Macaca mulatta: one gene and its partner. The protein of the gene in region 2 binds, or shares a complex with, the protein of the main gene of each other region. Links are inferred from orthologs where the notes say so. Each region holds a gene or a part of one and is shown on either strand. Other genes may lie near its edges.

Evidence for each region. The genes of interacting proteins can lie anywhere in the genome.
Region 1: the proteins of SMARCAD1 (region 2) and TRIM28 are in contact, whole or in part, in a crystal structure (PDB 6H3A), measured with the Homo sapiens proteins. The link is inferred for Macaca mulatta from reciprocal best matches to the Homo sapiens genes SMARCAD1 and TRIM28. Residues at the interface, in NP_001362784.1 of Homo sapiens: Asp156, Leu157, Ala160, Lys161, Gln163, Thr164, Glu167, Leu168, Phe169, Asp188, Gly189, Ala190, Ala192, Leu196, Ala201, Gly202, Gly203; in NP_005753.1 of Homo sapiens: Arg330, Trp333, Thr334, Lys337, Ile338, His341, Leu376, Lys377, Ile379, Val380, Asp381, Val383.

The regions. Positions count from the first base shown.
Region 1 is NC_133424.1:70,682,093-70,686,215, forward strand, and holds the start of TRIM28 (transcription intermediary factor 1-beta), read left to right. Parts: upstream 1-1,277; 5' UTR 1,278-1,575; coding exon 1,576-1,915; intron 1,916-2,244; coding exon 2,245-2,357; intron 2,358-2,583; coding exon 2,584-2,716; intron 2,717-4,123. UniProt on the Homo sapiens protein: Nuclear corepressor for KRAB domain-containing zinc finger proteins (KRAB-ZFPs).
Region 2 is NC_133410.1:103,630,645-103,634,273, forward strand, and holds part of SMARCAD1 (SWI/SNF-related matrix-associated actin-dependent regulator of chromatin subfamily A containing DEAD/H box 1), read left to right. Parts: intron 1-563; coding exon 564-752; intron 753-1,445; coding exon 1,446-1,564; intron 1,565-2,793; coding exon 2,794-2,976; intron 2,977-3,629. UniProt on the Homo sapiens protein: DNA helicase that possesses intrinsic ATP-dependent nucleosome-remodeling activity and is both required for DNA repair and heterochromatin organization.

The sequences.
Region 1 (4,123 bases), on a different chromosome or scaffold from region 2:
ACCTGAGGTGGGGAGTTGGAGACCAGCCTGGCCAAAGTGGTGAAAGTCAGTCTCTACTAAAAATACAAAAAATAGTCGGGCGTGTGGAGGCGGATGTCTGTAATCCCAGCTACTCAGGAGGCTGAGGCAGGATAATTGCTTGAACCCGGGAGGCAGAGGTTGCAGTGAGCCGAGATCGCGCCACTGCACTCCAGCCTGGGCAACAGAGCAAAACTCCGTCTCAAAACAAACACAAAAAGATTTCTTCTTTTGAGATGGAGTTTCGCTCTTTTCTCCCAGGCTGTAGTGCAATGGCATGATCTCGGCTCACTACAACCTTCGCCTTCCGGGTTCAAGCGATTCTCCTGCCTCAGCCTCCCGAGTAGCTGGGAGTACAGGCGCCCGCCACCACGCCCGGCTAATTTTTGTATTTTTAGTAGAGACGGGGTTTCACCACGTTGCCCAGGCTGGTCTCGAACTCCCGACCTCAGGTGATCGACCCGCCTCGACCTCCCAAAGTGCTGGGATTAAAGGCGTGAGCCGCCGCGCCCGGCCACATTTTTTTCGATCTGTTGTCTAGGCTGGCGTGCAGTGGCACAATCCCGGCTCACTGCTGCCCCGGCCTCCTGGGCTAAACGGAGCCTCCCGATTCGCCTAAGAAAATGGTGGGATTACAGGTATGAGCCACGGCGCCCGTCTGTGATCTACATTTGATTTAGGCAACTTTCTGTGTTTCTCAAGTTTAACTATAACGTGGTTAAAATTCAAAAGTCAGCCCCTGCTCTCACACAGGCGCTTCCTCCCTCCTGGGATGGAGCCTGTCCTCCCCTCTCCCGGGGCACAGCCCTTTACTCCGTCTTGGCCCCGCCTACTTCTCCATTGGCCCTGCCCCCTATCCCGAACGCTTAGTGACGCAAAGGCTGGAGACGACTCTACGCGAGCGAAAAGACGCGGGTTGAGGAAGAGTTACGGACTGCCCATGCGCTTGGGCGCACAGCGGCCCGCTTCGGTGTGGTCTGGAGGTGGAGCTGAGAGGGGAATCACACTCTATAAAGGTGCGCACACCCCACTGGCGGATTAAATTGCGGCAGTGACGTCACAGAGGGACCGCCCCGCCCCCACAAGACCCCACCGACGTGGGGTTGGCCGTGGTGGAAGGACCCGGAGTGGGCGCGTGCGTACTGGCAGCCTCTCCCGCCCCGACCGGCCTGGGCCCCGCCCCCGGGCGTGCGGCGCCCAATGCGCGTGCGCGGCGGCGTCGGCGCCAGTTATTTCTGTCCCGCCCCCCGGCCTCGGCTCTTTCTGCGAGCGGGCGCGCGGGCGAGCGGTTGTGCTTGTGCTTGTGGCGCGTGGTGAGGGTTTCGGCGGCGGCTGAGGAAGAAGCGCGGGCGGCGCCTTCGGGAGGCGAGCAGGCAGCAGTTGGCGGTGCCGCAGCAGCGTCCCGCGCGCGGCGGGCAGCGGCCCAGGAGGCGCGTGGCGGTGCTCGGCCTCGCGGCGGCGGCGGCGGCGGCCCAGCAGTTGGCGGCGAGCGCGTCTGCGCCTGCGCGGCGGGCCCCGCGCCCCTCCTCCCCCCTGGGCGCCCCCGGCGGCGTGTGAATGGCGGCCTCGGCGGCGGCAGCCTCGGCAGCAGCGGCCTCGGCCGCCTCTGGCAGCCCGGGCCCGGGCGAGAGCTCCGCTGGCGGCGAAAAGCGCTCCACCGCTTCTTCGACCGCGGCCTCGGCCTCGGCCTCGGCCTCGGTGTCGTCGCCCGCGGGGGGCGGCGCCGAGGCGCTGGAGCTGCTGGAGCACTGCGGCGTGTGCAGAGAGCGCCTGCGACCCGAGAGGGAGCCCCGCCTGCTGCCCTGTTTGCACTCGGCCTGTAGTGCCTGCCTAGGGCCCGCGGCGCCCGCCGCCGCCAACAGCTCCGGGGACGGCGGGGCTGCGGGCGACGGCGCCGGTAAGTACGAAGTGATCGGGGCCACCCCTCCCCCTACTCTCTGCCTTTGATTCCCACTGGGTGCAGAGATGAGGATGCCACCTGGGCAAGAGGATGGGGGCCCGGACAGTGCACGGGGAGTACTTTCTGGGTCCTGCATAGGAACGTGGGTTTGAGCTGGCCGCTGAGATGAGACATCTGACTAAAGTTGGAGAAAGGGCTCAGGGAGGGGAGGGGAGGGGCTGCCTCGCTGCGGGGTAATGGTCGGGGGCCCACCCAGCACGGGGATGCGGGGGGCCATAACTTGGGTGGGAACTTGTAACAGTCTCCCACATCCCTGCCTCTTGAAGTGGTGGACTGTCCCGTGTGCAAGCAACAGTGCTTCTCCAAAGACATCGTGGAGAATTATTTCATGCGTGATAGTGGCAGCAAGGCTGCCACCGACGCCCAGGATGCTAACCAGGTGCGTCCAACCGCAGCAACCACAGGGAGGTTTCTGGGGAGGGGGCATCTGCCCAGGAGGAGCTTGACACCAGCTCCCAGGCTGTTACTCGACTTTCCCAAGGCTCTGGGTGGGCTGTCTAGGCTGGGTCAAGGGACCAATCTTAATCTTGGGTTGTATTTTCTGAGGTGTAGATGTGGATCTAGCAAGTTGTCTTGCTTTCTCTGACCCTGCCTTTGTCTGGCAGTGCTGCACTAGCTGTGAGGATAATGCCCCAGCTACCAGCTACTGTGTGGAGTGCTCGGAGCCTCTGTGTGAGACCTGTGTAGAGGCGCACCAGCGGGTGAAGTACACCAAGGATCACACTGTGCGCTCTACTGGTACGTGAGGCTGAGGGGGCTGTTGCTTTCCCGTGTGTGCCCTCAGTTGCTTTTATAATGTTGGTTGCATTTGGTGGATGGGTCCTAGAGTTGTCCAGGGGGTGCCGCCCGAAGGGCTGGAGAGCAGAACTCCAAAAGCAGGAAAATTGTGGTTGTGGTGTGTAGTCTCTAGGGCTTAGGTGGGAGGGGGTGGGAAGGGGAGACGTGGAGACCTTAATGTGCTGCAGGGAGGTACAGAGGGTTTGAGGAAGCTTATCAGGGAGTTCTCAGTCCTGGTGTTGAAGGGCTCAGAATATGCAAACAGGGAAAGGCATGGTGTGAAGGGCTTACTGGGTTTGTGGTTCCCTGGCACACATCTGGTATAAGATGCTGTTAGGGAAAATGAGACTTTGTGGGTCCATGGGTTATAAGTGATGGTGATTTCTGGAAACGTTTTAGCTTTTGAGTTGGCAGAGACTTACCCGGAGTTTGGTTTGGCATTTCCAGCTTTTCGCAGACACTCGCTAGCTTTGATTTGGAAAGGAGCTTGAGAGTCTTTTGAGTGTAGCCCAGTTTTTGGGCCAAAATCCTCCCATGAGTGGCCTTTTGGTAGCCATACCGTGATTCTTCCCATCCCAGAGGCCAGCATTGGTGGAAGATAGTGGGAAAGTGGCGGCTGTGGGGCCTGAGGAGCCAGGAGGGATAGGCAGGGGCTGCAGGGTGTCCTACATTCCAGACGTCCCAAGCAAAGGTCAGGGTGCAGGAATGGTGGCACTGGGGAAGTCAGTTTCCCCAGTGAGCCCTGATGCTACGTATTTTGGATTTGGTTGGTATGTTGGACCACTATGCTTAATCGGTTTTCTAATGGGGAAGCAGGCTTTGAAGGTTATTAATGTGTTGGTCTTGGGGTGGAATTATGCTGAGCACCAAGCTCCTGGTCTAGAGGGGGTGTGACCACCATTCTGAGGGTCCTAGTTTGACATTTTATCTCTCCCAGTATGAGAACCTCTACAGGTTTTCTCTGGGCTCTTGGGTTGTAAGAGACCCTGGTGTTTTCTTGTCACGAAAGAGGGAGGAAGTTAACCATGAAAGGAGAAGAAAAGGAGTCCAGGGTGGTTTGTAGGCAGAATTCTGAATATGTCCACTTGGAGAATAAAGGGAACAGTGTGTGTGGGGGGGTAGTCCTCTTTTTCCGGAGGCTGTCCTTACCTTTACCTTTGTGTCACCTCTAGAAGCTAGAAGAAAGGGTTGTGTTTCTCAGCTATGTTGGGGCAGAGGTTTCTGGGAGCAAGGAATTGGGCTTGCAGGCCTGTGTTCTTCGCTGGCCACACCCTCTACATCTTCCCAATAAATGGCCCAGTGTCACAGAATGGGCAGGAAATGAGGCCCCAACTTAGTCTGCTTCCTGAGTTGGGGGTGGTGAAGGGC
Region 2 (3,629 bases):
CGCCCAGCTAATTTTTTGTAGTTTTAGTAGAGACAGCGTTTTACCATGTTGGCCAGGCTGGTCTCAAACTCCTGACCTTAGGTGATTTACCCACCTTGGCCTCCCAAAGTGCTGGGATTATAGGCGTGAGCTACTGCACCTGGCCAACCCATTTTCTTTTTTAAATTTTTTTATATTATTTTAAACTTACGGAGAATTTCAAACATTTATAAAAGTAGAATTTCATAATGAAACTGTCTGCTCATATGTTACTTCACCCCTTTGAAAGTTACCATTTGATAATGACACCACTCTTCTTTCATCTATACCCCAGACTTCTCCCCAGGATTATTTTGAACCAAATTCTAGGCGTTATTTAATCTGTAAATATTTTAGTATGTTATCTCTAAAACAGTAAGGACTTCCCCCCCTTTATTATACCTAAAAGATTAACATTAATTTTCCTTACACTAAAAGGTTCTATGATTTAGGTATTTTATCAGGTGTTAATTTTATTAAATTTTTCTGATCATACTATAAATTATTTTTATTTTGAAGTATACTGTGTTCTGTTTTGTTTTAAGGAACCTACACATTGTGAGGCTAACCCTGACCTGATCTTTGAAGATATGGAAGTTATGACAGACTTTGAACTACATGTACTTTGTAAACAGTATCGACACATTAATAACTTTCAATTAGACATGGACTTGATTTTAGATTCTGGAAAATTTCGAGTTTTAGGATGCATCTTGTCTGAATTGAAACAGAAGGTATTAAAGAAGAATGGTGTTTCTTGTATTTTCTCAATTACTTAAACTTCTTAAAGCAATTCTGGCACACTGACTTGCTTTAATTAGCTTATGTCTGTTCTGCATTCTTCCAGAACTTAGTGTTTTGAACATTTTCTTGACATATTTTCTTGATTACCTCCTTTCCTCTGTTGAACCTCAAAAACAATAGAAAGTTAGTAGACTGTATCTGTATTGATGTTTTGAAAAAATCTTAATTGTCATTATTTCATAGGTGACAATCTGTATGTGTGCTAAGAAATTAGTTTTTAAAAACACCATTCATTAAATAGTTATTTAAGTAATACTGCCGTTTATGTGTGAAATAGCCTAAATTTGTAAAATCACAGTCCAGATAGGACACACATATGCAATTGTTCATATTTTCTGACATTTTTCTTACGAAAAGGAAGTAATTTAACTGTTCTTAAAATCAAAACTGAGAGCTAACTTTTAGCCTTGAAGTTTAGAGGCTAAGGCAGTATATTCATATGTAGGCTACAATAAAATGTATATCTTCGGTATTATTGATTTCTATTAAAGAAGCAGTTGATCATAGAGAATTTTCTGCAAATTTATCAACATGATATAAGTAACACTTCTAACTGTTTAGACCTGTCAAGGCTTAAGTAAAACAATTTTTTCTATTTCTAACTCGTATATCTATTTTCACAGGGTGATAGAGTTGTATTGTTTAGCCAATTTACCATGATGCTGGATATCTTAGAGGTTCTGTTAAAACATCATCAGCATAGGTACCTCAGATTAGATGGAAAGACTCAGATTTCTGAAAGGTTGGTATACTTCATGTTCCAAAAAAAAAACCACTCATTTGTTGTTGTTGTTAGAATTTTAAATGTCTAGAGTACTTGATAGAATTTTGTTGTTTTTATGTTTGATTACTTCAAATCATTGCCTTAAAATAAGAGTAATTTCAATGATCAGGCCTGGTGGCTCACACCTGTAATCCCAACACTTTGGGAGGCCGATGACGGTGGATTGCTTGGGCTCAGGAGTTCAAGACTACCCTGAACAACATGACAAAACCCTGTCTCTACTAAAAATACCAATAACAACAACAGCAACAAAAATAGCTAGGTGTGGTGGTGCACGCCTATGGTCCCAACTGGGGAGGCTGGGATGGGAGGATTGTTTGAGCCCTGGTGGGCAGAGGTTACAGTGAGCCAAGATCACACCACTGCACTGCAGCCTGGGTGACAGAGTGGGACCCTGTCTCAAAAAATAAATAAATAATTTTCTTTTAATTTTTCTGTCTGAATTGCATACAAATACCTTTTGAAACAGCTGTTAGAATTGTATTTTTTATGATTTTCACCTTTAAAATTTTTTCAAAGTCTAAAACACCTTATCTTTCATCAAGATTGTTTTAAAGTCTTTCATATTCTATGGGTAAAGTTTTTTTCATTCCCAAAGGTTGTAAAGATTGACCTTAGTAAAGAAGGGATTGTCTTAATAAGGAAGGAATTGTGTAGTATGTTTAAATTGAATTATATATTTTGGTTTATTTTTTTTCTGTTGTCCAGAGTGGTTTTTTTCCCCCCAGCATTAGAGTAAAGGTAAAAATAATGTTGTGTTTTGTTTTTTTTTTAAAAGAGGAGAATCCACTGATACAATGATACACTGATCGTGAGGTCCTTGATTCATCAGGAATGCTGTCTGCCAGTAGGAGCTGATATACTTCTGAGAAGGCTAAAGATTGAAAAGCCATACACAAAATTTAGCTAAGCCACAAGTTAAAAAAGAACAAAATCGTCATTTAGGAATTAATTGAATCTGAATAGTTGAATTGAAGTAAGAGTTGGTAGGGGTAGCAATATCGTAGAAAAGAAGTTGGTGAATTGAGGAGGCTCTTCCATGATATAGCCAGAGGAGAAGTAACTGCAATACCAAGGGATGTATATACATCTTCGGGTTTCCTTTTCATGTGATAATGATTGTTTTCCATTTTAATTACATGATACAACTTTTTAGTGAGATTTAACCTAATTTGTTTATCTTACAGGATTCATCTAATTGATGAGTTTAATACCGATATGGATATCTTTGTGTTTCTGCTATCAACAAAAGCTGGTGGATTAGGAATAAATCTGACTTCAGCAAATGTTGTTATACTTCACGACATTGACTGTAATCCTTATAATGACAAACAAGCAGAAGATAGATGCCATAGAGTAGGCCAGACTAAGTAAGTGTTTTTAGTTGAAATGTATTTTTAATTCAGTGCCACTTTAATTTGTGTAGACCAATAGAATATAGTGTTGGATATCCTGCCTTAGTTTTTATTTTTTCAGCAAAGCATGGCTACATATGTATTTTATGCCAGCAGTGTTGAACATCGACTGCACTGAGTAACCCTTCCATTTTCTAGTAATTAAAACCATCCACCCGGATTCCAAATAGTTCTGCAGTTCATGAAGTATTAACAATTGTCTGCGCCTTTGAAAAAGATGAGTAATTGAAAAGACTTGCTTATTAGACCAGTTTAAGACCCAGACAAACTTCATAATACACAAATTATTGCTGGGCTGTCCTGTTACCCTTTAGGAAGTAAACTGAGTTGTAAATTATTTTAGATGAATGGTAATTTTGACATTGGTCACAGCACTGTAAAGAGGTGAAGATAGTCGGGTGCAGTGGCTCACACACTTTGGGAGGCCGAGGTGGGTGGATCATGAGGTCAGGAGATCGAGGCCATCCTGGCTAACACGGTGAAACCCTGTCTCTACTAAAAATACAAAAAAAAAGATTAGACAGGCGTGGTGGTAGGCACCTGTAGTCCCAGCTACTCGGGAGGCTGAGGCAGGAATGACGTGAACCCAGGAGGTGGAGCTTGCATTG